Linked DNA regions of Cricetulus griseus. The protein of the gene in region 1 binds, or shares a complex with, the protein of each later gene. Links are inferred from orthologs where the notes say so. Each region holds a gene or a part of one and is shown in the gene's direction. Other genes may lie near its edges. The genes, in order: Brd8, Ing3, Meaf6, Morf4l2, Anp32e, Ruvbl1 and Epc1.

Evidence for each region.
Region 2: Brd8 (region 1) and Ing3 share a complex: the UniProt entries of both Homo sapiens proteins name them as parts of the SWR1-like complex. The link is inferred for Cricetulus griseus from reciprocal best matches to the Homo sapiens genes BRD8 and ING3.
Region 3: Brd8 (region 1) and Meaf6 share a complex: the UniProt entries of both Homo sapiens proteins name them as parts of the nuA4 histone acetyltransferase complex. The link is inferred for Cricetulus griseus from reciprocal best matches to the Homo sapiens genes BRD8 and MEAF6.
Region 4: Brd8 (region 1) and Morf4l2 share a complex: the UniProt entries of both Homo sapiens proteins name them as parts of the nuA4 histone acetyltransferase complex. The link is inferred for Cricetulus griseus from reciprocal best matches to the Homo sapiens genes BRD8 and MORF4L2.
Region 5: Brd8 (region 1) and Anp32e share a complex: the UniProt entries of both Homo sapiens proteins name them as parts of the SWR1-like complex. The link is inferred for Cricetulus griseus from reciprocal best matches to the Homo sapiens genes BRD8 and ANP32E.
Region 6: Brd8 (region 1) and Ruvbl1 share a complex: the UniProt entries of both Homo sapiens proteins name them as parts of the nuA4-related complex. The link is inferred for Cricetulus griseus from reciprocal best matches to the Homo sapiens genes BRD8 and RUVBL1.
Region 7: Brd8 (region 1) and Epc1 share a complex: the UniProt entries of both Homo sapiens proteins name them as parts of the nuA4-related complex. The link is inferred for Cricetulus griseus from reciprocal best matches to the Homo sapiens genes BRD8 and EPC1.

Annotation. Positions count from the first base shown.
Region 1 is NC_048595.1:202,876,478-202,879,977, forward strand, and holds the end of Brd8 (bromodomain-containing protein 8), read left to right. Parts: intron 1-30; coding exon 31-75; intron 76-1,452; exon of another isoform or gene 1,453-1,809; intron 1,810-2,177; coding exon 2,178-2,237; 3' UTR 2,238-3,079; downstream 3,080-3,500. UniProt on the Homo sapiens protein: May act as a coactivator during transcriptional activation by hormone-activated nuclear receptors (NR). Isoform 2 stimulates transcriptional activation by AR/DHTR, ESR1/NR3A1, RXRA/NR2B1 and THRB/ERBA2.
Region 2 is NW_023276806.1:205,262,019-205,266,023, reverse strand, and holds the start of Ing3 (inhibitor of growth protein 3), read left to right. Parts: upstream 1-1,205; 5' UTR 1,206-1,338; coding exon 1,339-1,366; intron 1,367-1,597; coding exon 1,598-1,669; intron 1,670-4,005. UniProt on the Homo sapiens protein: Component of the NuA4 histone acetyltransferase (HAT) complex which is involved in transcriptional activation of select genes principally by acetylation of nucleosomal histones H4 and H2A.
Region 3 is NC_048595.1:27,952,502-27,956,001, reverse strand, and holds part of Meaf6 (chromatin modification-related protein MEAF6), read left to right. Parts: intron 1-974; coding exon 975-1,167; intron 1,168-1,577; exon of another isoform or gene 1,578-1,714; intron 1,715-2,034; exon of another isoform or gene 2,035-2,162; intron 2,163-3,500.
Region 4 is NC_048604.1:43,656,890-43,660,934, forward strand, and holds the start of Morf4l2 (mortality factor 4-like protein 2), read left to right. Parts: upstream 1-1,245; 5' UTR 1,246-1,353; exon of another isoform or gene 1,354-1,378; intron 1,379-2,190; exon of another isoform or gene 2,191-2,300; intron 2,301-3,037; exon of another isoform or gene 3,038-3,333; intron 3,334-3,607; exon of another isoform or gene 3,608-3,761; intron 3,762-4,045. UniProt on the Homo sapiens protein: Component of the NuA4 histone acetyltransferase complex which is involved in transcriptional activation of select genes principally by acetylation of nucleosomal histone H4 and H2A.
Region 5 is NW_023276806.1:60,578,861-60,582,360, reverse strand, and holds part of Anp32e (acidic leucine-rich nuclear phosphoprotein 32 family member E), read left to right. Parts: intron 1-320; coding exon 321-490; intron 491-3,500. UniProt on the Homo sapiens protein: Histone chaperone that specifically mediates the genome-wide removal of histone H2A.Z/H2AZ1 from the nucleosome: removes H2A.Z/H2AZ1 from its normal sites of deposition, especially from enhancer and insulator regions.
Region 6 is NC_048601.1:54,816,484-54,819,983, reverse strand, and holds part of Ruvbl1 (ruvB-like 1), read left to right. Parts: intron 1-1,921; coding exon 1,922-2,073; intron 2,074-3,500. UniProt on the Homo sapiens protein: Possesses single-stranded DNA-stimulated ATPase and ATP-dependent DNA helicase (3' to 5') activity; hexamerization is thought to be critical for ATP hydrolysis and adjacent subunits in the ring-like structure contribute to the ATPase activity.
Region 7 is NC_048596.1:208,059,950-208,063,876, forward strand, and holds the start of Epc1 (enhancer of polycomb homolog 1), read left to right. Parts: upstream 1-1,127; 5' UTR 1,128-1,389; coding exon 1,390-1,542; intron 1,543-3,927. UniProt on the Homo sapiens protein: Component of the NuA4 histone acetyltransferase (HAT) complex, a multiprotein complex involved in transcriptional activation of select genes principally by acetylation of nucleosomal histones H4 and H2A.

The DNA of each region.
Region 1 (3,500 bases):
CCTGATCAGTATTTGTTTGTCCTCTAACAGGACAGTGTCCCCATGGGCTCTCCTGCCTTCCTTCTCTCTCTCTTTGTAAGTATTGAATGGCTGCAAGGGGTGATGTTGCCAGAAAAATTCTCAACTCCTGCTGGGCCTGGGTGGCAGAGGGAAATCCAACATGCAGACTGTGGCAGTGTCTTGAAATTCTTTTTATCCATTGAATAAGAAATTCTTTTCTTCTGCATTCTGGTCTCTTTGCATGTGTGTGTATGTGTGTGTGTCAGAGGGAGGGGGCTGGGGGAACTGCTGTAAGATCACTGCACTGAAATATGAAGTGTTCTTGGGGTAAAGACCTAGGATGCACCTGCTCCTCATTTCTTGCTTCCACCTTTTACCAGTTCTTATGAGTGGAAGATAGCTCAGAGCAGCACCTGCTGCTTGGCTTTTTAGCAGTATTGGTAGATATTTAACACACACCTTTCCACTTCCTCCTAACTAAATTGAGAGACTCCACAGATAAACCCTCACTAAAAATTAAGCTGGTAAAGGTACTTGCCATGGGAGTGACCTGAGTTTGACCCACAGACCCCAATGAGAGTGGAAGGAGAGAGCTGACTCCACAGAGTTGCCCTCTGAACTCCACATGTGCAGCATGGCACGTGTGCTCCTACACAGACCTCACACGCAGGAGTGGTAATGTTTTTAAAGACTTTTTAAAGATCTCAGTAGCAGTGACTACTGGATGCAATAATAGCTGGTGAGATTATAGATAAACATAATAGATCTAGCCAAAAGGCTTTTATTCTTTTGCTCCATAAATTAAATGACTGATTCTGTTCATGGTAGAGCAGTGAAGTAAGGGACAAAACATGCTGAAAACTACATGGTCTTAAGATCATTAGCTAACCTTAATTTTCTCCTCTATGTGATAGAAGTAATAATGAGTTGAGGGCCAGGAGGATTGCCCGCAGGATCACTGCATGCCTAGGCTGTGGAGTAAGACCCTGTCTCAAAAAAAAAAAAAAAAAAAAAAGCAGGAGGGAGTACTAGAGAGAGGCACAGAAGTTAAGAACACTTGATGCTCTTGGAGAGGATCTGGGTTGGGTTTCCAGCAACCACATGGTGGCTCACAACTGTCTGTAATTCCAGTTTCAAGGAACCCAAAGCCCTTTTCCAGCCTCTGCAGGCACTGCACACTTGTGGTGCAAGTATACACATACAGGCAAAACATTCATACACATTAAATGAAAATAAGTCTTTAAAAAAAAAAAAAAAGAAGACAAAAGAAAGAGTAAGATTGAGGTACCTGTCCAGCCTACCTCACAGGGATGTTGTGAGGATAAAATAAGTTATAAAATTAACTTGAAAAAAACTATTAAAACGTTACACAAATGCAAGGTGTTATTTCTATTCTTACTGTTGGCTGTTGGCAACTTATGTTCTAAAAATTTTTTAATCCTTGCATATTAGAAATACAGAAATGGTCCGGCCCAGCAGAACTGTTCACTAGTTCATCTTGCCTGTAGACCTGTACCACAAAGAGAACACTGTGATCTCTATTCTTTCTTATTGGCCTGCAACAGTGACTCTGGATCCTCATTCAAGTGGCTGGCTATTGCAAGGCCGGTTAATAAGATCTTTTATCTATGGAAGACAGCAAAGTTTTGCACAAGAGGAAGGAGCTGGGCTACAGGGAGAGAGCAGCAGATGGAAAGAAGCCTGATTGTCCTGATGTCATGGAAAACAACTGTCAGGAGGTGCTAGGGAACTAGTGCCAGGGTCAGTCTGCAGGAAAGGCCTTTCTTATAGGGACCAGCAACTGGACAGGTATGTTAGCCAAGAGCTTCACTACCCTTTCTGCCTCTCCCACCTTTCACTTTCTCTTCCTGTTCTTTACACACAGTGTGGACCTGGGTGGGATGACTGGTAGTCATTCTGTGGGACCTCAGATGAATTTCAAAGACCCTTTGTATTGGCATGAAAAAAATGCTAGTCTTAATAGTTACACTCACAAAATGTCAGGTGTTCTTTTAGCTACTCTGTGGGAAAACAAAGTCCCTTCCACTTCATACCTTTGGTATTCTCTGTAGATTCTTTCCCCCAAGAAATCAAATTCCCAGCATTCCTATTGTATGTTGTCTCTTAACAGGTAACCAACTCACTCATGTTTCTTTCCTTTCTTTGATGTTGTTTAGGATGGGGGAACCAGGGGACGCCGCTGTGCCATTGAAGCAGATATGAAAATGAAGAAGTGAAGCCTCAGAGTTCCCTCTTTGAGCTGAACCTGAAATAGAAATAAACAAGATATAGCTTGGGCTTGTGGGCTCAGGTCTACACTTGATCTTAGTCAAAAGGCTGAGAAGCAGTATGGGCCCAGAAGAGAAGGTTCCTGGGTCAAATGACATGAGTTGAGAAAAATCTCTTTTCAGAGAGTTGGAGTAGCACAGTTGCCCGTTTTAGGGCAAAAATCATGGGCTGTGTTAGTGCCCTAATGTGTAGCTAGAAGATTGTAGCTTATTTGTATTATCTTGTGAAGTGTACAGACTTTTTAAAAAAATAAACCTGTGACGTGTGTGTATATAACAAATAGAAGGAAAACTTTGGCCTTTGGTGTGTGTCCTTTGTGTTTGAAATGTGTTTTCTTCACCATACCTAATCATATATGGGGATAAGATTGTTAGAGCTGAGAAGTGGTCTTATAAGCTGTCTGCTGCAACTGAGAAGAGGTGAGTAACCAAGACTGAATTCATAATTGTGTGAATTAAGTGTGCAATAAGGGCTATTGGGGTTTTCTTGAATGTTTGGGAAACGTTAAGGTTTTCAGGATCTAGTTCATATATAATTCCACAGGGATTAGAGTATGGACAAAGGTGGCAGAATATTGTCAGGAATGTTTTGTGCCAGGACTGACAGCAAATGCTATCAGTATTTCTATAGGTAGAACTCTTGTACAATATTCTTTTGTTTTTTGAGGTGGAGTCTCTGTATTTTGACAAGGCTAGAGCTCAAAATCCTCCAATTTCAACTTCCCCCGTAGCTTGGATTACAGGTGCATGTACCACATTGGGCTAAGTGATTTAAAAAAAAAAAAAAAAAACAAAACAAAACCATGCACACACAAAAAAACTTATTGTTAAATTTATTTATTTATGTAAAGGTTTATCTCTGAGAGTTGGGAAGTTTAGGGCTGGGAATGTGTTTTGATAGTATAGTGGTGCAGCTCTCAGCTAGTGTTCTTGGCAATCTCCAGTGCTGGGGGAAGGAAATCACTGGAAAACAACATGGTGGCACATACCAGTAATCCCAGCACTTGGGAAACTGAGGCAAGGGGATAACTGACTGTTTGAGGCCAGCCTAGGCTTCAGAGGGAGACCTTGTCTCAATTGGTGGGGCTTGTGTGATGTCTCAGTGGGTTCAGGTGCCTGCTACCATGCCTGACTACCTGACTTTGGTCACTGAAACTCATACGGTGGGAGGAAAGAACTGACTCCTGCAAGTTGTGCTGTGACCTCCACATA
Region 2 (4,005 bases), on another chromosome or scaffold:
TGAAAATTTTTAAATTGGACATATAAATATATTCAGAGTAGTGAATAAATCTTAAAAATGTCACACTGGTTTTTATAAAATTTTGTTTTTTTTTTTTAATTTTTCTTTGGTGTGAAATAGGGTCTCCCACCGTCTAGGCTAGCCTCCAACTACCCGTGTTGCCAAAGCTCCCCTCGAACTGTTGACTCTCCTGTCTCAACTCCCCCAGTTTCGGAATTACAGGTAAGTAATAGATAGTGTAAGAAGGGATCATTTCCTCAAAACACAAAGCATGTATTTAGTGCACGAATTTTTATGAAAGGGATTTTAAGACAGAAACAGAGCGGTGATACACTCGTTATACTACTAGTGAACACTTGTTAGGGGTAGAAAAAGACGCAGTCCAGGACTTACAAACCTTAACCCGGATATTTACCCAACGTAAATTTGAATCATTGCTGGTATATCCCAGAATTGGATTAAATCTCCATAATTTATGGTTGGCCGTTATTTATTTATTTATTTATTTATTTATTTATTTGCAGGTGCATTAGAATATTACAACGAATTCGAGACACGCAGCAAAACATACTGGCTATTGCAGACAATTTTTGGGCATTTTTCAATTTGGGAAATGCTCATTCGATCCAGTCTTGGTATAAATATCTTAAAGTTACAGGATCAACAACAGTCAGCTGTCCCGTTTATATCTCAGGAGTGGATAACGAAGATAAATTCCAGCAGGGAGTTGTGTTCTAAACAATTCGAGTTTTCCGAACTTGGCCGATTATTCTAGCGTTTGGAACCTTTGCTATTTGCCTAGCACGGTTAGAAATCCATGACTCACAAACGGCGGGCTTGGAATCACAGCACAGAACAGGTGAAAAGTTGTTCCTAGTTCTGTCAGGCAGGCGCCTACAATTCCCGTCATTCCCCTTGCAAGAAACCCACAAATAAACAGAGGCACCGCATTTCGGATTCTGGCGTACCCGTTTCGCACAGCCGTGTGGTTTCTGTAGTTGCGACGCCTGGAGCTGCCCGCATGGATGGCCCCCCGCTCGGGAAAAAAAGACTACATTTCCCAGAACACCACGGGGATCCGCACCGGCCTGCTGACGTCAGCGCTCCAGGCAGCCAATAGTAACGCCGGGCGGCAGTGAGGCAGGCGCCGTCAGGCGCCAAAGTGGAGCCTTTTTTTTTTTTTTTTTTTTTTCCGTTTTTTTTTTTTTTTTCCCTTTGCCGGAGTCGAGCGGGTGCTGCTAGCGGAGGCGCCATATTGGAAGGGACAAAACTCCGGCGACAAGGAGTGACACAAATAAACCCCTGGACCCGTTCGTCCCCGCAGCAGTCAGGGCCGCGATGTTGTACCTAGAGGACTATTTGGAAAGTGAGTGCGCGGCGCCGGCGACGCGGCTGGCGGGATCGGCGGCGGGCGGGAGCGCGAGTGGCCGGGCGGGCGGGATGGCGGGAGGGAGGGGGAGCGGGGGATGTTTCTTTCTCACGGTAACTGGCAGCCTCGTTGTGAGCCGCCCCCCCCACGCACGCACGCACGCACGCGTGACGCCAGCGCGTAGCTTCGCCGTTGGCCCCGCCCTCTGACGGACTGTGCCTTTGACAGTGATTGAGCAGCTGCCGATGGACCTTCGGGACCGCTTCACGGAGATGCGCGAGATGGACCTGCAGGTGCAGAGTAAGTGGCGCGTCCCCGGGGCGGGCGGGCGGGCTTCTCCGCGCCGCTTTCCTCGGGCTGCCGCCTCCACAGGAGGAGGCTGGCCGGCACAGCACCCCGCTGACACGCGGGGGCCGGTGTTTGTGTGTGTGTGTGTGTGTGTGTGTGTGTGTGTGTGCGTGCGTGCGTGTGTGTGTGTGTGTGTGTGTGTGTGTGTGTGACACGGCACGGCGATGACGACATCGCACCGCGGGGGAAACTCGTGGTTCCCACAAGGTTTGCTCCTGAGCCTGCAAACTCCGAGTTCTGCATTCAGACTTAGGAAAAAGAGAGAAAGAAAAAGTTCATCCTATTCCCCGATCTCTCAAGAGTAAAACGCTTAGGATCGCAGATTGCGCGCGGCTCCCCCGGGGACCCGAGTGGGCTCGGCAGGCCGAACTTTGACAAGTTGCCTATTGCCAGAGACGCCGACAGCCGTCAACTACGAACAGGGTTATTCTCTCAGCCACAACGAGCCAGAGAAATAGTCATGATTGGAAACATGATGGACCTGCCCTTGATTGAAACGTTTGGACCTTGGGTCGGCTTTTCTACCCGTTTCTTCTTGTTTTGTAAACACAGCTCGGGGCGGTCTCACACTCACTGTGCATCAGAGTCTGGCCCTAGTCTCCTGCTCTACCTGCTTCTGCCTGCCTAGTGCTGGGATTTACAGGCATTACCCACCCACCGTACTGGCTCAGCTTTGATTTTTTTTTTTTTTTTCCTGTCCATCAGTGCTTGGTAGTTTTTTGTATTGTACTTATTTCCAAATTAACCTTGCTATTTTGAAAAGCCATATTGGAGGTGGCTCAAAGGCAGCCTTCGTTTGCTAGGAGTTGTTCTTTTCATTGTCAGTCCCTCACCACCACCACCCCCAACGACCCCCCACCACACACACACACACACTTATGTAACTTTTCTTCCGGAATGTACTTTGTACTTTCTCATCTAAGTCTCTGGGTCGTCTCTTTTGGGGGCCCATAGCCCCGTAGTCCGTCATAAGCATGTGACAGGTGTATGTGTGATTCTTTCCTTTTTGACTCAGTACAGTTGCAGTAGTAAACATTTAGCAAAGCACATTCCAAAGGGATTGATCAGAGCTTGATAGCAGATAGATTTGGATTCACTTTAGGGCCTCTCCAGTTTCTTATCCACCTTGGCTCTTTGCTGCCTTGGGACTTTTTTTGTTTTTGTTTTTTGTTTTGTAAAAGACAATCTGCTGATTTAAAATAATACATATAATTAGGATGTATAATACCTGTTACAAATAGGTATAGAATAAGGGATTATTTCAAACATTTTGTAATAGTTCAATTTTTTAAAATTCTATGATAGTTTGGATTTAGTCTATACATATTATAGGGTTTTTCAAGTTTAGTTTTTCTTATAAACTTGGTGTTTTCTGAAGTTAAAAGTGATTATGCATTAGGCAGGCGGTGGTACACACCTTTCATCCCAACACTCAGGAGGCAGAGGCAGTTGAAGAGTTCAGACCAGCCTGGTCTACATGAGCTAGTTCCCAGACAGGCTCCAAAACTACACTGGAAAATCCTGTCTTGAAAAACAAAACAAACAAGCAAAAAGTGATAATGTATTAACAAAAGTAGCAGCATGTCTATATTGGCAAATGAACTGAAAGTAAGATTTTTTTCTTAAGAAAATTAAGAGTAACTAGAATGTCTCAGAATCGTTTTTTTTTTTATATAAAGGTATTATGCACTGAAGAACTTTAAATGATGAATATAGTGAGGAAGTTTTTCTCCATTTCCATAACAGAAAAAATCCCTTTTATTTATTTGTCTTTTTTAGCAGTCATCCACTAAGGTCATTATTTTTGCATGGGCTTTGGAAAGCCCTTGCACAGAATAAATAGCTTCTGTATTGAGTGATTAAATGGCATCTTATGTAAACAAATGATCACACATTTCATACCTTCATATAACATGGTGGGGTGCTTGGTCTGTAATGCAAATGTTGAATATATTATCACTATTTTTATTAAAAGAAGTGTGGACACTCTCCAGTAGTACTCTCAGTAAGCAACTATGGTTGCCATAACCAGCTGACTTAATGCCATTAGCTGATTCAGTGCTGTGCTGCTCCAGGGCTGTGGCATACATCCTTGTCTGTGGGTTGACTCTACCTTGATTGTTGGAAGATGTTTTGAAATAGCAAAAGTCAGTACAGCTTTTTAAAACTAAGGTAATTAAGGCATTACTGCTTGTAGAATTGAAGCAGAGTGTGTATAAGCCACTAGCAAACTGAAACAGTACATGTTGTCAGACTTCTTTTATTTCCTCAAATCAAAGCGTTTGGTC
Region 3 (3,500 bases), about 170 Mb from region 1:
AGAATACCAGGCTACACAACCATAACATATATGCAGAGGGCCTAGGTCAGACCCATGCAGCCTCCCATTGTTGGCCCAGTCTCTGGGAGCTTCTGGAAGCCCTAGTTAGTTGATTCTGTGGGTTTCCTTGTGGTGTCTGTCCTTGAACCCTCTGGCTCCTACAATCCTTCATCCCCCTTTTCCACAGGATTCCCCAAGTGGGTACCTTTTCTCTACTAACTATCTATTGATTTATTTATTTTTAAGTTTTATTTTATGTGCATTGGTGTGAAGATGTCAGGTTCCCTGGAATTGGAGATACAGACAGTTATGAGCTGTCATGTGGATACTGGGAATTGAACCCAGGTCCTCTGGAAGAGCTGTCAGTGCTCTTAACCGCAGAGCCATCTCTCCAGCCCTGTTATTTATTTATTATTTTTAATTATATTCATATGTCTGTATGAGGTATGTTCATGTGAGTGCTGTGGGCACCCAAGGAGAGGTGCCGGCTATCCTAGAGCTGAAGTTTTAGGCGGTGAGCCTCAAAGTGAATTCTGGGAATTAGTCTCAGGTCTTCTGAAGAGCAATACATGCTTTTAACCTTGGAATAATTTCTCTAGCTCTCCCCACACCCCATAACGCTTTGCAGAGAAACAGGATTCTCTGCTGGTTTGTCAGTTTTGCCAGGGTCATCAACCCTTATCCTCTGGATGTAAGTCTTCCTCTCTTGTGTGTACTCTTTGTTACATAGCCCTTATGTAGTAGGGTGGTGCTTATGTTGCCATCTGGTTTGTCTTCAGCACTGTCGTCCGGTTACACTGTTGCAGATTGCATGGTTTCCAGGAACTCCCTAGCTTTGATACTTTGAATGTCCATCCCCTGTCAGCTTGTATCTTCTCTGTCACATGGCCTGTGGGCTCACAAGCAGACATTTGCTGCTTACAAGAATTTGGGGAATACTGATCAGGCTTTGGAACCTATTTTCTTTCCTCTAGGGGAACCAGGAAGTGGGACAGAAAGCGATACTTCTCCTGACTTCCACAATCAGGAGAACGAGCCTGCCCAGGAGGACCCCGAGGACCTGGACGGTTCCGTTCAGGGAGTGAAGCCCCAGAAGGCTGCCTCCTCTACCTCCTCAGGGAGTCACCACAGCAGCCACAAAAAAAGGAAGAATAAAAACCGACACAGGTTAGTGGCAAGGTCCCACCCAGTCCCAGAGTTCTCATGACTACTGGGAGGGACTTGGTTGGAATGAAAGTGCCTGGGACAGTGGCAGAGCCCTCATGCTTCGGGTGGCAGAAATCTTCTGGTGCTAGTCCAGTGGGCTGGTGTTCTCTGAGGGAGGAGTGGGTGGCAATAGAGAGGCCCCGCAGGATCAATGGGAGCCACCACGATGGACTGTGACTCCTGAGCATTGGGTCCTTGCTAAGAGGAAAGTGGAACTAGAAAGACTCTGGTTATTGGGAAGCTGTGACCTGGGATGGAGGTTCTTTGAGTCCTGGGCCCCGTCTGCTCCTATGAGAGCTGAGTTGCCATGCCTTCCTTGACTTTTTAAATATGGGTTTGGTTTTGATTGTTATGACTTTTCTATTTTGTAGTTCTCTGAGTATGCTGCCTTCAGATACGGGGAAACACTTAAAGCTCCTAAATGCGAGCATTCCTTCGTAGGAACCACCTGAGCACTGCTACTTTTGCAGTGGGAAATGAGATGGGGATGACACCAGTGCACAGAGAGGTCAGGTGTCTCAGGGGGTTTAGTGGTCACTCTGCCTGGGTTTGTATGCTGATGCTGGGCCTTAGCTCAGAGGGTGATGAGTCTGCAGGGCAAGGGGCTCTCCCTCATCCTGGTCTTGGAAGCCTGAACACTTTGGGGGTGAAAGGGGTGTGCAGGGCTAAGGAATTGCATTGCATTAGAAAACTTCGGGGTGTCCCTTCCTGCACCTAAGGTGTTCCACTGTGAACTTCATAGACGTGGCACTGTGGCTAATATAGAATTAAATTTAACTGGTTTCAACCTCTTTAGTTTTTAAGTTTTTCTTGTTTTTTAAATTGCAGAAATAGTGTTTCCTCCAAATAAATAGTGCTGAAGGACCACCGCTTTACTGTTTTCTGCAAACCAAAAACCACTGTGCTAATCTCAAAGTATAGTAAGAAACAGCAAAGAATTGTCCCCTACCATCTTGGTAAGGATGTAGGTTGTTGGAGCATTGCGGTAGGCTTGGGGCTACCTTATCACAAACAATAGAGACCCATACTCTTTTTAAAGAGTATTTTGTGGGCTGGGAAGATGGCTCAGTTTGTAAAGTGCTTGCTCTGCAGGCTTGAGGACCTGAGTTCTAATCCCAGCACCCACATCAAAGCACTCAGTGCATTGTATGTGTCTGTAAACCCAGCATTGGGGACATTGATATCCTGGGGGCTTGCTGGCCAGCCAGTCTAATAGAAGTGATGGGACCCTTTCTCAAAGACTACATGGAGAAACACCCAGCATTGACCTCTGACCTCCATATGCACACACATATATACTACATACACACAAATTGGCAAGATAATTCAATATTTTCTTCTGTGTTGTTTTTATTACATTTAGTTTCTTGTCATTTTGGGGATTCTTTTCCTATTTCAGAGTGTCTAGAGCAGGGAGACCATTCTTGAAAGTCCCTGGGACTCTGCACCACTGACCAGTGTCCTCTCTAGATCCTGCTGGTTTCGTGTAACACCTCATTTGCACTAGCGATGTGGGCAGCTCTTGACTGGTGAAAGGCGCTAGAGAAGTGTTCCCTTTAACTGTCCTTGCAGGGTTCTAGAACATCTCCATGGAAATAACAGTTCTTTCTTATCCCTCCCTTTTCCTGGCCCCAGGAATGAATCCCTTCCAGAAACACACTAGCGCTTAGAAAGACAGTTCTTGGGGACTGATCTCCTAAGGGGCAAGTCTGGCTTAGAAGGTGGACTGGGTTTTTAGCTCCAGAATTCCTGCCTCAGTGGTGGCCTCCCAGGGCCTGGTGTGCTCATCGGCCCCCAGAAAGGCTTGTGGCACACGTTGCTTTGTTTCTTAGGAAGCTGACCCCAGCTTCCTAAGTGGTGTCTCAGTGGGCTAAGGCTGTTGCAGTCCTCTTTGCTACCTTTGTACACTCAAGGGCAGGGGTGGAGCACATTATTCATACACGCTGGTGAGCTGGCACCCAGAGCAGCGCTTCCTTCTCCACTGTGCGGTGGCCCCTGTAAGTCAGGCCACGGTGACAAGATGTCCAAGGACTTGCCACATGCCCCCATTTGAGGAGAAGCAGGAAGTAGTCGAACTTACCATTTACCCCCCCCCCCCAGGAGGGGGGATGGAACACAAAGCTTCAACTGTGCTAGTCAAATGAAAATCGCCAGTTTTCTAAATTCTTATATTTTACATATCTGAACAACAGTTAAGTCCCACTGTCTTTAAAGAGAAAAAAGTAAATACTAGCTGCTCTTAGAGGTTTTTACTATTACATCATACCCAAGATTTGTTTTTGTAAATCATTGCT
Region 4 (4,045 bases), on another chromosome or scaffold:
CTCAGAACAGTCTGTGATTCCAGCTCCAGGGGATCTGATGCCTCTGAGCTCTGAACTCATGTCACGTACCCACACGCAGATATATACACCTACACATATATAAAAGCAATGAAATTAAAATCCTAAAAAAAACTTCACCCATATGTGTACAAATAGATATCGTTGATAACTAGAACAGATATTTGTCAGTTGATTATGGTGTACAATTTTGTTAAGAAAAAAAAGGCCAGGTGTTGGTGGCTCACACCTTTAATCCCAGCAGAGGCAGGCGGATCTCTGTGAGTTCAGGGCCACCCTGGTCTACAGAGCGAGTGCCAGGACAGGCTCCAAAGCTACACAGAGAAACCCTGTCTCAAAAAACAACAACAACAAAAAGGCAAATGGGGAAAAAGACCCTTAATACCCAGGAGTTGCTCAATAGGTGTTATTTTTCAAAAAGCCAGTGGTGTTGGCACATGCCTTTAATCCCAGCACCTGGGGAGGCAGAGGCAGGTGGATCTCTGAGTTCAAGACCAGCCTGGTCTACATAGTGAGTGCCAGGATAGGCTCCAAAGCTACACAGAGAAACCCTGTTTCGAAACACCACCCCCCCAAAAAAAAAGAAAAGAAAAAATATTTAATGTAACATCTAAAATACAGAAAATATTTAAAAAATTGAGGGTCTGGCTGGGAAGATGTCTCAGGGGGCAAAGCATCTGCTGTTCAACCATGAGGACCTAAGTTCCATTCCTTAGAAACTATATAAAAGCTGAACATGGGACTCGTATCTGTAACCCCAGTGTTTTAAGGGGGATTATTGCTAGGGATAGGCAGATCCTAGGAGCTTGATGACAAGCCAGGATCTTGTAGCCCATATAGAATACTCCAAGTATACTGAGTGACGCTGCCTCAAAATATAAGGTGGACAGAAATAGAGGAAGAGACCTAAAATGAAGCTGACCTTTAGCCTCAACAAGAACAGGCAAGCACTCCTGCACACATGTGCTTATACACGGAAATAAAAAAAAATCAGGGCTACATCATCATTTGCCCTGAAACACAAGGCAAGTAAGTATGAAATATGTTTCACTATTTACTATCTGACTCTAAAGATACAAGTTATGCAAAATGGAATGAGCACGAGCAAAGTAAAAAAAAAAATGCCTTTTAGACATGTAAAAACAGCTTAGTCAGGAAATGCTCTACACCCGAGGCTGCATCTGATAACCAGAACCCAGTGACATCACTCACTCAAGATAACCAGACACAGTCCTAGAATCCTATGACGCTCTGGCCACTATATAAGCAGAGACCAGGAGCTTGTTCGTCCTCTGTGCACCTGGAGAAACGACACCTTGATCTACCCTGCGGCTGGTGAGTCTCCCCGGGGATCCTGACCCTAGAATTAGAGACTTTTGTTAGAGACTCTCAACTGATCTTCAATGATACGTTGAACAGGCGAGCAACCTTGGGGAGATAGGTTTAGGACTGTAGTTAGAAATTTAACAGTGTGAACTTTGTGTGATGACCCTCCGCATAATGAAATATCACTTTTTTATACCAACTACACATACTTAACTTCTTGCTCACAAAACAGAAACACCACAAAAAATTAGGGTGCAAACACACATATCTGCTAAAAATTTCAAGGGGAAAGGACGATATTTTTTAATACTGAGGTCTAACTTTACCTCAGAGTTAACTTTACAGACTGACTATAGTCGCCTGCAATTAGCATTTGGAGGAACTGTAAGTATTTGAAAATAAAGTGGGCAAAAAGTGAAAAGAATAGTCTTTCATTAGTTTTTTTTTAATGTAGAGACAGGATCTCAACAAATAATCTAAACTGGTCTTCAACTTGGGGTCCTTCTGCCTGCTGAGTGCTGATATTGTAGATGTGCCACCAAGTCCCACAGAGGATTTTAGCACCAGCCTTTAGGCTCATTTATTAATTCTGAGTAAAAAAAATAGTACAAGGGGAAAGAAAATCTGGAAGAACAGATGGCTTTTCTTTTTAAGGAAAGAAATTAACAAAAATCTTTGGGTATATAATTCCCTGACTAGCGTTGTTACTTTACAAAACTTGATTGTATTGTTCTTTGGGATTTTAAGATATATATATATATCAGAGATTATTGAGTTCATCAATTAAGACGTGGGTGGAGCAAAAAAAATAAATCTCCCAACAAGTGCTCTGCTGGGATTTGGTGACATCTAGTGGCAGATTCAAGAGGTATAAACCTCACCCAGGGAACTTTCTGGAAAATTGACCGAATGCATATTTGCCTGAGGATCGCTATGCTTGGAGACTAGGCCAAAAGGTAGGTGAAGGTTAGAGCCCAGAAAAACTTGGAGGGGTCTCTATCATAGGTGAATTTAATTCTGTATGTTCGTATTATTTCTGCCAATTATGCAGTAAGTTTGGTGCAGGGCAAAGGGGAAGGTCTCAGTGATAGACAGGAGGGGAGTATACTTGGAAACTTTAAAGAAGTGCCCCTTTACTAATATAGTTTTGAATCTTAAGCATGCGAGTTTATTTTGGTGGAGTAAAATGTGAGAATAAAGAGCATCTATATAATCTAAAATTAAATCTGAGTGGAGTGGCGCATGCCTTTAATCCCAGTACTCGGGAAGAAGAAAAGAGAAAGGCGGATCTCCATGAGTTCCAGGCCATCCAAGATTATATTAGCGAGACCGGGTCTCAAACAACAGACACACACACACACACACACACACACACACACACACACGTAAAAAAATTAAATCGGCGGGCCTTTTCTAACAAAAGCCCTTTACTTCTGTTACTAGTAATTTTCCTTAATTATTTTCCTTTCCATTAAAGCAGTTTGCAAACATTAAAAAAAAAAAAAACAGCAATCCACCAATATAAAGAGCGGTCAGGGCCCCTCCCGCCACAGCAAGGAGTGCACGCCTGCGCACACCCATCACCTCCGGCGCCACGAGGGCTGGTGTGCACCCACAACCACACTCGGCGGCCACGCGAGCCTGCCCGCGAACATACACCCCGGTGCTCACGCCATCCGCCCGTGGCACTCACCACCCTCACACACACACATCAAAACCTTCGTTATTCCTTTTTTTTCTCCTGTTCCGAGAGTTGCGCAACAAGCTCGGGGGCGTGGCCCGAGGTTTGACCTCGCTCTTCCCACTCGCGGGAACCTTAGCTCATTTCCGCCTATCCTATTTCCGCAAGCCACGTAGACACTTCCTTTCCCAGTGGTGCGGGGGCGGGGGAGGGGAAGGGACCCACAAACCCATAATGCCTCCCTGCAGGAGAAGAAGAGAGCGAGGGAAAGGAGGTGGGGGTAAAAAAAACCCACGGTCAGGGGAACTCTGGGTCGTGAAAATAGGCCACGTGAACACGCTGCCCTATAGACTTATGACCCAACGGCTGTAGCGCATTTGGAGGGCGGGCTCAGAGCCTAAAAGGGCGATTGTGATTGGCCGAAATCCGCACTGAAGAAGGACGGTAATTGGTTTGATTTCGGCCCTAACCATGAAGAAGCAGGTTGCTAGCACCCGCCTTTACTGCGGCGAAGTGTCACTGCTGACGTGCGAGCCTTGATCCAATCATTTGGTTATGGAACATTCTAAAACTGAGACAAGACGACTATGATTGGCTGAAACGCTAAGCCCACCCCCTGGGTGACGTGTCTGCCTATGGATATCAGTTGCCAGAGAAACCTGGCTTTACTATGGCGGTTGGAGGAGCAGCAGTGATCACACGTCGGCTGCTGGAAAGAACTGGATTCTCGTTTCAGGTTTCGGGGTGGGGGTGGGGAGGAAGGGTCGATGATTTCCTCTTTTCTTCGTGTCTCTAGACAGGATTAGCTAGTAGCTTCACATTCAGGCAAAGCGGGATTCGTATCCCGACTCGCCAACGCCCAACTTGGGCAAGGCTCCTTTCTGTGTCTCGGTTTCCATGTTTGTAAAACGGTGATAATAGTACCCATCTCAGAGACGTGGACTCAGATGTGCACAGTAATAGTGCGTGTAAGGTATTCAATGTGAAGTCTGTCTCCGAACGATATTAGAAATTGTTATT
Region 5 (3,500 bases), on another chromosome or scaffold:
TTTTTTTTTAAAGATTTTTATTTATTTATTACGTATACAGTCTTGTGCCTGCAGGCCAGCAGAGGGCACCAGATCTCATTCAAGGTGGTTGTGAGCCACCATGTGGTTGCCGGGAACTGAACTCAGGACCTCTGGAAGAGCAGTCAGTCAGTGCTCTTAACCGCTGAGCCATCTCTCCAGCCCGGTTTTTTCTTTTTGAGACGTAACTCCTGCTATTCTGGAACTCACTAGCTAGCCTTGAGATCTATCTCCTGTGCCTCTGGGTGCTGGGATTAAAGTTGTGCCCAGCTATTTGCTCATCTTTAAAATGTTTTTTAAAGATGGAGATGAAGATGAGGAGGATGAGGAAGAAGATGAAGCTGGGCCACCTGAAGGATATGACGAGGAGGAGGATGAGGAGGAGGAGGAGGATGAGGACGAAGCCGGTTCAGAAGTGGGAGAGGGAGAAGAGGAGGTGGGCCTTTCATACTTAATGAAAGAAGAAATTCAGGTGAATGGAAACTTGATATTTGTACACAAGGCTGAGTACTGTAAAGTGAGTTGTGCGTTATTTCCTAACTTGTGGGTAAGCATCTGTCCGTCTTCTCTTCCAGCTTCCTACTTACTGGACGCTCTATAGTGTATCCAGACAGCCATGAACACTTGGTGGCTTTTTTAGTTTTTAGTTCAAGGACAGTTTTATTGAAAAAACAAAACAAGAAACTCCCAGGGTAGGCAAGCTCTAAGTCCCAGCAGCTCCCTGGAGGAGAATGGAGGGGAGAAGAGAAAAAAAACCAAAGCTGGCATTGAGGTCAGACACACTTTGGACAAGCAGTCACGTGGCAGGGAAGGGGGCTTCAGAGAAGGAGTATGGAGACCCCAGTTATCAGAAAAAGTATTGGTTTTGGCCAGCATCCAAAGAGAGAAAGAAAAAGGCAAAGTTGCCTCTTTCTGACTTGGGTGGGCTTCAGATGGGCAGACTCAGCCAGATGTCAAGGTGGCTCCATTAGAACTGTCATTGCTTGTTGCTTTTTATCTCAGATAATTGATTCTGCCCCCAGTGCCATGGGATGGTGAAAACATTTTATGAATCTGAGTCTATAAAGTACCTAGTTCCTTGTTGGCACATTATAGACACTGCAGAGTCCTGGAATAATGTGTTCCCTCCAATTATCTCTTCTTGCTTTATACTTCTGCATCTCCCAGTAGCTTTCCTCCTCCTTTTTTTTTTTTCCAAGAAAGGGTTTCTGTGTGTAGCCCGCCGTCATGGAACAAGCTGTGTAGCCCAGGCTGGATCTCAATGACAGCTTAGAGCTATCCTCTACAGTGCGCCTTTATAGTATGCCGATGATAAGACCAATACTTGCCTTCTTGATAGATGCCACAAAGCATGCATCATTATCTGTAGTTTTTCTTAGGTAGTGATGGTTAGGTAGATAATATCTGATGAATGGTTCTTATTTTCCTGATACTATTTTTAAATTTGAAATGAATTACAATTTGTTATTATACAATGCTCTCCCTGCATGTATCCCTGCAGGCCAGAAGAGGGCACCAGATCTCATTACAGATGGTTGTGAGTCACCCTGTGGTTTCTGGGAATTGAACTCAGGACCTCTGAAAGAGCAGCCAGTGCTCTTAACCTCTGAGCCATCTCTCCAGCCCTAAAAATTGCACTTTGAAGTGTATGAATGTGTGGGGATGGACTTATTTTACTCTGTACCCCAGGCTGGCCTTAGACTCATACACTGCATGCTGCCATTGAATTTGTGGCGGTCCTCTGACTTCTGCCTGCTGAGTGCTGGGATCACACAGACATTCACCACTCCTGTTTTAAAAGTTACTTTCAACCAACTGTGGGATAACTTACATTTAGGTATATTATTCTACTGAATGTTTGGGAATATTAACTCAAAATGACATGGCCAAGCATTAATCAGAAATCTCTGAAATATATATAGCATTAAGTTTGTGTGGGGCCAGGAAGCATTTTCATTCTAGATAGGATAGTTTGGGTGTTCAAAAATGAAGTCTTAGCTTAGCTAGGTATGGGGTAGGTCATCACCATAACCCCAGCAGAGGGTGAGGCAAGGAGTTTAATGATAGCATAGGCTACCTAGTATGCTCTAGGATAGCCTAGGCTACAGAGGAACCTTGTCTCAGAACAAACAAACCAATAAACCCAAAAGTTCTTGTTTTTAGGAGCTAAGTGCCAGGTAAGCATCAGACTTCTGGTAATCAAAAATAAATAAGAAGGAAATGGCATATTTGATTATGCATTTTATTTTCCTTAAAAGTTATTTATTTTTATTATGTATGTGTGGGTATTTTGCCTACATGCCTGTCTGTGTACCGCCTGTGTGAATGGTGACTACGAGGCCCAAAGAGGGCATAGTATCCCTTGGAGCTGGAATTACAGCTATTTGTGAACCAAGTGCTGGAAGCAGTACCTAGGTCCTCTTCACTATTAATCGGTGAGCTATCTCTACAGGTGGTTATTTTTCCCTTTTCAAGATGGGGTCTTATTGTGTAGCTCAGGCTGTCTTTGAACTCATGGTCCTCCTGCCTAAGCTTCATAAGTGCTGGGATTACAGGCTTGTGCCATCACACCTGGTTTCTTGCTTATTTATTTATTTATTTATTTTCCAGACAGGGTTTCTCTGTAGCTATGGAACCAGTCCTGGAACTCACTTTGTAGACCAGGCGGGCCTCAAACTCACAGAGATCCTCCTGCCTCTGCCTCCCGAATGCTGGGATTAAAGGCGTGCGGCACCACCGCACTGATAAAGATTTATTTATGATGTGTACAGTGTTCTGTCTGCATGTATGCCTGCAGGCCAGAAGAGGGCACCAGGTCTCATTACTGGTGGTTGTGAGCCACCATATGGTTGCTGGTTATTGAACAGCTAGTGCTCTTAACCTTTGAGCCATTTCTCCTCCAGCCCATCTTATTTTTAAGAGAAAGAGAGAGAGAGGGAGGGAGAGAGAGAGAGAGAGAGAGAGAGAGAGAGAGAGAGAGAGAGAGAGAGAGAGAGAGTGCACATGTTGTATGCATGCATGCATGCATGTTTCTGTTTTTGTGAGTGTTCATGTTTGTGAGTATGGGTCGTGACATGCATGGGGAGATCAGAGGACAGCTTTAGATATCAGCAGGAATCAGGACTACAGGTGTACATTGCTGAACCCAGCTTTATGTGGGTTCTGGGGAATCCAATCTCTGTATGATCACATTCTGAGTCATCTGCATGAAATAAGACACAAAGTTGAGTAGTAGTGGTGCACCACTGGAGAGATGGCTCAGCCATTAAAGGCTAGGCTCATAACCAAAAATTTTTCTTACTTGTGTATATCTTTCTTTCCTTCTTACTCTGCGGTGGTGGCTGGCCCTGACGTTTTCTTATTCTCTTGCTGCTGCTTTTTTTCTCTTTCAGTTTATACTCCCTGCCTGCCAGTCCTGCCTATCCTCCTTTCTGCATCTCTGTTGGCTGTTCAGCTCTTTATTAGACCGTCAGGTGTTTTAG
Region 6 (3,500 bases), on another chromosome or scaffold:
GTGTGTGTGTGTGTGTGTGTGTGTGTGTGTATGTGTGTATGCTTGTGTGTGTGCTTGCATTCGCGTGCGAGCCTGCGTGCGTGTATTCGTGTGTACTGCTTTTCTGGAGGTGCTGTAGAGTGTAGAAGAGAGATCTGATTGCTTAACCCTTAAGGCTTTATTTTTGTTTTATTTTAAATGTGTGTATGAATGAGTGCAGGTGCCTGCACAGACCAAGAGAGAGAGGTTACAGGGGTTACAGGCAGTTGTGAGCCGTCCTGCCTAAGTGCAGGGAACTAAACTCCTGTCGTCTGCAAGAGCACATGATTAAGCCATCTCCCTGGTCCCTGATTTCAACTTAAATTTTTTTAAACATTTATTTGGGCCGGGCAGTGGTGGCGCACGCTTTTAGTCCCAGCACTCAGGAGGCAGAGGCAGGTGGATCTCTGTGAGTTTGAGGCCAGCCTGGCCTATAGAGCGAGTTCCAGGACAGGCTCCAAAGCAATACAGAGAAACCCTGTCTCAAAAAAACAAAACCAAAAACAAACAAACAAAACCCACTGAGCTATCCTACCCACCGCTGAACTCAGTTTTTAAAGGGTTTTTCTATATTCAAGCCCAGAACTAGATAGCTATCATTCCCAACAGTCCCTCAGATCTGCACTTCCAAGGAGAGAAATCTGTTTTGTGCTGTTAACCATCTGAATCCATGGGATTCTATTCACCAATCAGTGACTATAAGAACGGTCTCTCATTCCCCTAAAAACAACAGAATAACCCACTATCTATGACACCCATTCCTAAGCAAGGGATCCTGTAGCAATTGTAGACGACCCTTGACCCTGCCTTGTGCTCTTAAAGTTTGACCTCTTCATCAACTCTGTAGCTCTCCTGCCCTGCAGAGAAGCACATCTTATCTCTCTGAGCCACACTCCACTTGACTCTGTCACACTTGCAGGGCTAGTGCTCGGCTCCACTGCGCACACATGAAGCCAGCCCCAGGAAGCCAGGCCCGCACTTTCCCTACCTCTGACAGACCTAGGCCTGTGTCTTCTCCACACCACAGTGCTACAGCCATCCCATAGTCAACACCCCTGACAGCTATTAGGTAGAGCCTAGTTGCCATCTAACTTGTGTTTGCCCAAAGAAAACCTTAGAGGAATTTAAGATGTGTTTCAACCTATCCATCTCTTACAGAAAGCTCATCTATACCCTGGTGCAGGCAATGAATGTCAACACATGGCACTTCCTAGACAGAGGAATGTGAGATCTGGGTACCTGACAATATTGAGGGGTTACTGGTCATTTTTATAACAATGGTATTGTGACTTAAAGTGCATGTGTGTGCAGGCGCGCACATGTGCACACGCACTCAAGTCCCCAGGGAAGCCAGAAGAGGGCATCTGACCAATGATTGTGAGCCACCTGAAATGAATGCTGGGATTTGGACTCTGGTCTTCATGGTTAATTCTTTTTTTTTTTTTTTTTTAATTATTTATTATGTATATAGTTTCTGTCTGCATGTATGCCTGCTCGCCAGAAGAGGGCGCCAGATCTTATTACAGATGGTTGTGAGCCACCCTGTATTTGCTGAGCCATCTTAACTGCTGAGCCATCTCTCTGGCACTTGAGATTATTTTTTAAGTACTTGTTTTTGAGAGACACGTATCGAAATGTATATGGATTAAAATCTCATGAATAAAAAACAGGCAAGATGACCCAGCAGGGAAAGGAGCTTGCTGCCAAGCTTGAAAACCTGAGTTGGGTCCCTGAAACCCACTGCTTTTCTCTACTGCTTTTCTGTACACCGTGACATCCTTTCACTTCTGTTATTAAAGTTGATTTGTCATGAATGCTTGGGACTAAGAGTTTTGGGGTATGGGTGTGTGAGAAAAAGGTAGCATCTGAGAGATCTCTCATGGCCATTTGCCATCTCTTCCAGGGCTACGGATAAAGGAGACCAAGGAAGTTTATGAAGGGGAGGTGACAGAGCTTACTCCGTGTGAGACAGAGAACCCCATGGGTGGTTATGGCAAAACTATCAGCCATGTGATCATAGGGCTCAAAACTGCCAAAGGAACCAAACAGCTGAAGGTGAGTCTGTGGGGCTTAACCTCCCAGTGCTGTGTGGCTCTGGGGGATGCTGTGACCTCTGCCTGGGTTCTGTGCATCGTGACTGTGGGGCTGCACAGGTGTTAAATGATGGTGCAGGACCTGGCCCTTGAAAACTCAGCTGCTGTAGCTGTGCTCTCTTCCTCCCAGGAAACCACACATGTACATTAGAATGAACCGGTAGATAAGTGAGGAGCCTGCCTCTGCCATGCCATATTTCACATATCCCATATGATCGATCCTTCATATCCAAGGCCCTAGCCCTCTGATGCACACAGATAGCAGCACCTCGAGGGATCTGTCTGAGATGCAGGCAGACAGCTCAGTGGGCTGCAGAACCCTGACAGCAGCTCCGGATAGGCTTCCATGGGCTGAAGCTCGAGGCCTGCGGTGTACTGAGTGGGACTTTGTCTCTGACCATAGAGGATAATCCTATCATCCTTTAGGACACAAGCTGGGATGCTTGGGATCAAAGCATAGACTTTAAAGTCAAAGGGAATCTTTAGCTTTGTTTCCCTCTTGTTTTAACTTTTAGCTTTGCTTCTTCCATTTCAGGCAAGTGGTATGGCGAAACTTGTAGTTTTAGATCCACAATGAGAGGTGGATATTCGTGCCTGTCATAGCTCTGCAGTAGTTATTGCCACAGTGGCTGGTTTACGTCACACACCCTGCTTGAGTGTGTGTTTGACCTAGAGCTAACAGCTTCAACAGACGCTTCACATACTGCCAGTTCATGTGTGTACACACAACAAAGCTCCCATAGAAGCAGCTGCTCATAGAAGACAGGCAGCCTGCTTTAGCCCATCCAGGGTGCATGGCAGGGCTGGCTCTGATCTCAGCATTATGTATCTGTCTTGCAGCTTGCTGTACAATCCCAGGAAGTCACTTGGGCTCTCTGGGCCCAGTTTCTCATCTAAGCTGCCAAATCAACTGTGTAATCTCTTTCTTTACTCCACTCTGAATTTTCTGCTTCTGTGATTCTGTGAGGTTGTTTCTTGGTCACTGTTTTATAGAGAGCATAAAAATGTCACTTCTTCAAAGAGCTGTTTCTCTTTTTCCTAACAGGGTTCTTCATCCCAGGAGCTTGCCTCGGCAGATCTCTCTGTTGAACGCAATGCTCAGGCTTCATTCTGTACTCCTGAGGTTTCCTAGTAGGAGGCAGCACATTTTCAGTAATCACAACTTCAGCCAATTCACTTGGGAAATTAACCAGTATAAAACATTTGAGAGGAAGAAAGACAGACAGACAGACAGACAGACAGACAGACAGACACACACACACACACACACACACACACACACACACGGCATATTCTTGAGTGTACCTTATACTAAAAGGCCTGCAACTTAAATTTGACCTGCCTGTAAGGCTACCCTGACGGTTTCCTTGAGGAAAATAAGGGGAAAGT
Region 7 (3,927 bases), on another chromosome or scaffold:
ATAGAAACAAACCTGAGAGATAGTTTGCCAGTGTACGCTAAACTAATTAACAGTTCATATCAAACCCTGTATTTAAGAATAGTGATTATTTTTACTATGTAGCCCTCAGGGAGAAAAGCAGACTTAAAACAGGTTTTTAAAACCGTGATGAACATTTGAAATTTTGCCGCCAATCTTTCAAAATCCACCCTAACAGCCCTCCCAGTTTATAAAATATCTCACTGAAAAGAGATACCTGGGTACTAATTTTCATGTATAATACAAACCAAATATTCAAAGTCTTATCAACATCTATTTTTTTAATAAATTAACTTTTAATGTCCCTTTTCTGGTGTGGCCGCCGAACCAATACAGGTCTTTGATTCGATTTTATAAAGTTTCCCAGAGAACAGATGGCAAGAGTGTGAACCTACTTACGGCTGCATTGAAGTAACGTTTACTTCTAATACTGCCGAAATGCACCAGCTAGCTAGCGACACGGGCTCTGGAATTTGGAAACTGTGTTTCACCAAAGATTGTTACAATTTGCCGCAATTATCCTGCGAGCGTCAATTAAACTAAAAGGGGTAGGATTGGATAAAAACTGCTTTGGAGCTGAATATATATATAAGTGGTATTTATAGCGAGCCCCGGGTGGGAACTTGACCGGCGATTTGATGACAGAACCTGTTCAGAATTGTAACTCAGTTTTGTTTGACTTAAAGAGTTGGCCTGTGATTTCGCGTGCAGGTTTATTTCTAAGTCCTGCACCTCCCGCACTGCGCTGCGCTGCGCTGCGCTGCGTTGCGCTCGCCCTGCGCGGCCAGCCCCGCGGTGACAGGTGCCCGCGCCCGGGACGCAGGCCCGAGCATCCCGGCCGCTCTTGGCGGCGGCCTTTCCAGGGCCCCGCGCGCGGGCGCCGAGAGCTCGTCGCACCTTCGCCCGTCCGAGGACCGCGCCGGGCGGACGCGAGGCCGCCGGGCGGAGCGGGTGAGGCGAGACGAGACGAGACGAGGCCGGCGGCCGCGGCCGGCGGGCCGGGGGTTGGCGGGACGCGCGCTCCGTGCCGCGCCGCGCCGGCGCCCGCTCGAGCCCGCGCTCCCCCCGCGCGTGCCCGCGCCGCTGCGCGATGCAGTGTGGGGAATGGCTGGGGTTGGCTGAAGAGCGCACAGTGGAGTTTTAATGTCCGCCATGTTGGCCATGGCGTATTGAAGAGAGCGAGTGAGCGAGGCGCGGAGCGGCACAGCCTCCCACCCTCCCGGCTGGTGTCAGGGCCCGGACGGCGGGCTTTGCGCTCCGCCCCCAAGTCCCCGGCAGCGGCAGGCGAGTGGAGACCGAAACCCCGGTTCTCCATGATCCCGCTGGCCGGGGCCGTTTCCCCAGAGCGGAGAGGTATCTGCTGCGCCTGAGATGAGTAAACTGTCGTTTCGGGCGCGGGCGCTGGACGCCTCGAAGCCGCTGCCGGTCTTCCGCTGTGAGGATCTGCCCGACCTGCACGAATACGCCTCGATAAACCGGGCCGTGCCGCAGATGCCCACCGGAATGGAGAAGGAAGAGGAGTCGGTACGTGTTAACTCCCCTGTCCGACCCGCCGCCAGGCCCGCGCCCTCCGCTGCCCGCGGCGGCGGCGGCGGAGCAGCAGACCCACACAAAATGGCCGCCATCTTCTCTCCGCCGCCGACTCTCGGTCGCCGGCCGGGCCGGTCCCCCGCCTCCCCGGTGCTCGGTCCCGGGCCGCTGAGGCCTAGCGGGGCCCCCTCGAAGGCCTTCCGCCGCCCCCGGCCACTGGTACCCGGGTCCCGCGGAGTTCGGGGGCCCGAAAGGCACAAAGGGGTCACGTGACGAAGCCGCCGGCAGCCATTTTGTGGTCTCAGTTCTTGGGTTGGGCCTTGTGCATCCGGAGAGGGAAGCGGGCTGGGCGGCGGTGGGGGTGCAGCGAGCCGGGAGTGGGCCGCGCCTGCAGGTCCCTCGTAGGGCCGCTGGGTGGCGCTCCGGGCCCGCCGCGGCCTGGCAGCGGCTGCCGGCGCAGGCTTCGGGCGCGCTTCCCCGCGGCTCGGTGCAGTCCCCCACGTGGAGCCTCCGAGGGGCCTGTCATGTTGACTTCAGGGCTCAGGCTGATTTCTCTCCCGATTCCTGCAGGAAAATGCCGAGGGTGCCCCTTGTCTGCCCAGACGCCTTTACTTTTAGAGAAGATAAAACTCCCGGTATATGCTTGCTTGCACCGGCTGTGCTTGTTAACCCGGCGGATTTAAAATAAATAAAAGAACCCACTGTCTCCCCCAACTTTTTGATCTTTGAGACAATGTTGCAGATTTGTTTACAATATTGTATCTGTCCTCTGCAGCCTGCAACTTTTTAGTTACTTGTAAGTTAAATTTGGGTTTGCCTGCTTTCAGAGTAACGATGGAGAAGACTCGGTTCAATAACTCTTAAAACTATAAATTTTGAAAGAAGGTCCTTTTTTTTATTAATAGCCGAGCTAAAGTTGAGTGAATTCTTCACAGACATCCTAACATTAAGATGTCCTAACTGGGTGGGCTGCAGTAGTTAAATTGTTTATACAGCTAATGATTTACTTTAGCCGTGGCCTTTACCTTGCTGTGGAAGTTGGGTCCGACACAGAGATAAGAGAATCTTCCTCTCATTTCCCCTAAATCGTTAACATTTTAAATTCTAATTCTGAGGAATTGCATACGTTGGTTTCCAGGTACAGCCACTTAAACAGGGTGCTTTGTGTTGACAGTTCAAGGAAGTCAAGGATTCCCATGGACTTGTGTGCTCCAATTTTGTTGTGGAAAATTGTACTGTAATACTTCTGTGGTACTGTAAGAATTTTCTATTCTCTGTAATGTTTTTCAAAATAAAACTCTTCAAACTGCTTGGGTTGTTTAACCTTTTAAAGTAAAATAGTTTTGACAGTCGAATGTTACTTTGGGGCGGAGGGTCTTGAATCTACCTTCACAGCTGAGTGCTAAGTGTATGTAGTAGATGAGATGTGTGGGTAGTGTGCTGACTTCTCAGCAGCTTATTTGCGAGCGCAGTGCTCTTTATTTTGACCTGTATCAACTTAGAGTAGAATGGTGCCATTTGTTTATTTTTAAAATAAGTGATTTGTTTTTTTAAAAAATTAAAGTACTTGTGACTGCAGAATCTTGTCTTTTTGTTTTATTTTTGTTTCTCTATGTAAGTTTTACAGATATTGCTTTCAAGTTGGGGTGCTGGTGATACCCTGCTTGAGGGATTAACTTGTAGCTCTTGTGAATCTAAGGTGGAAATCATTAAGCAAGAGCAAGACCCACAACAGTGCACTTTAGAAATGGAGTTAGGTCTTGCTTATCTGAGTCTTTTGGACAGTCCCAAGAACTACAATCTAAAACAAGAGCTGAGTTCAACTTAAGGGTCTGTCCATGCATATTAACATTTACAGATAATTTCGGTCACTGAAACAGTCTTGGTATTGTGCAATGACTGTCACTGGGTTTTAGCAGGTGAAGGTCCAACTTTTGTTAGATATGGGGATTTCCTTTTTCCCCCTTGAGGGTACCTTTTTCCATCATCTGTTTAGAATTTTTCAAGTCACAGCCAATCAAAACTGTATATAAGTGAAGCCTAGATTGTTTGATAGAACTTAAAATCCTTCGTAAACAAACTGTGTGTGTCCAGCTGCTAGTGACAGGCTATGTGAGTCATGGTATTGAAGGTAGTATGTTGTGTAGTATTGAAAAGTACCAAGCATGATGTAATTCGGAGGTAATCTTTTGTACTTGGAAAAAGAAGAGTTAAAGCAAAGTTCATGGCATGTGGCCTATGCTTCCTGCCAGGTCCTGTAACCTGGGACCTGAATTGACTGTCCAGTTTAGAAAAGGGCATATACTCTTAATTTAGTGTCAGTCTTGAGACTGTTAAGACATAGAATCTAGTTATCATAATCCAACTTCATGGATTAAT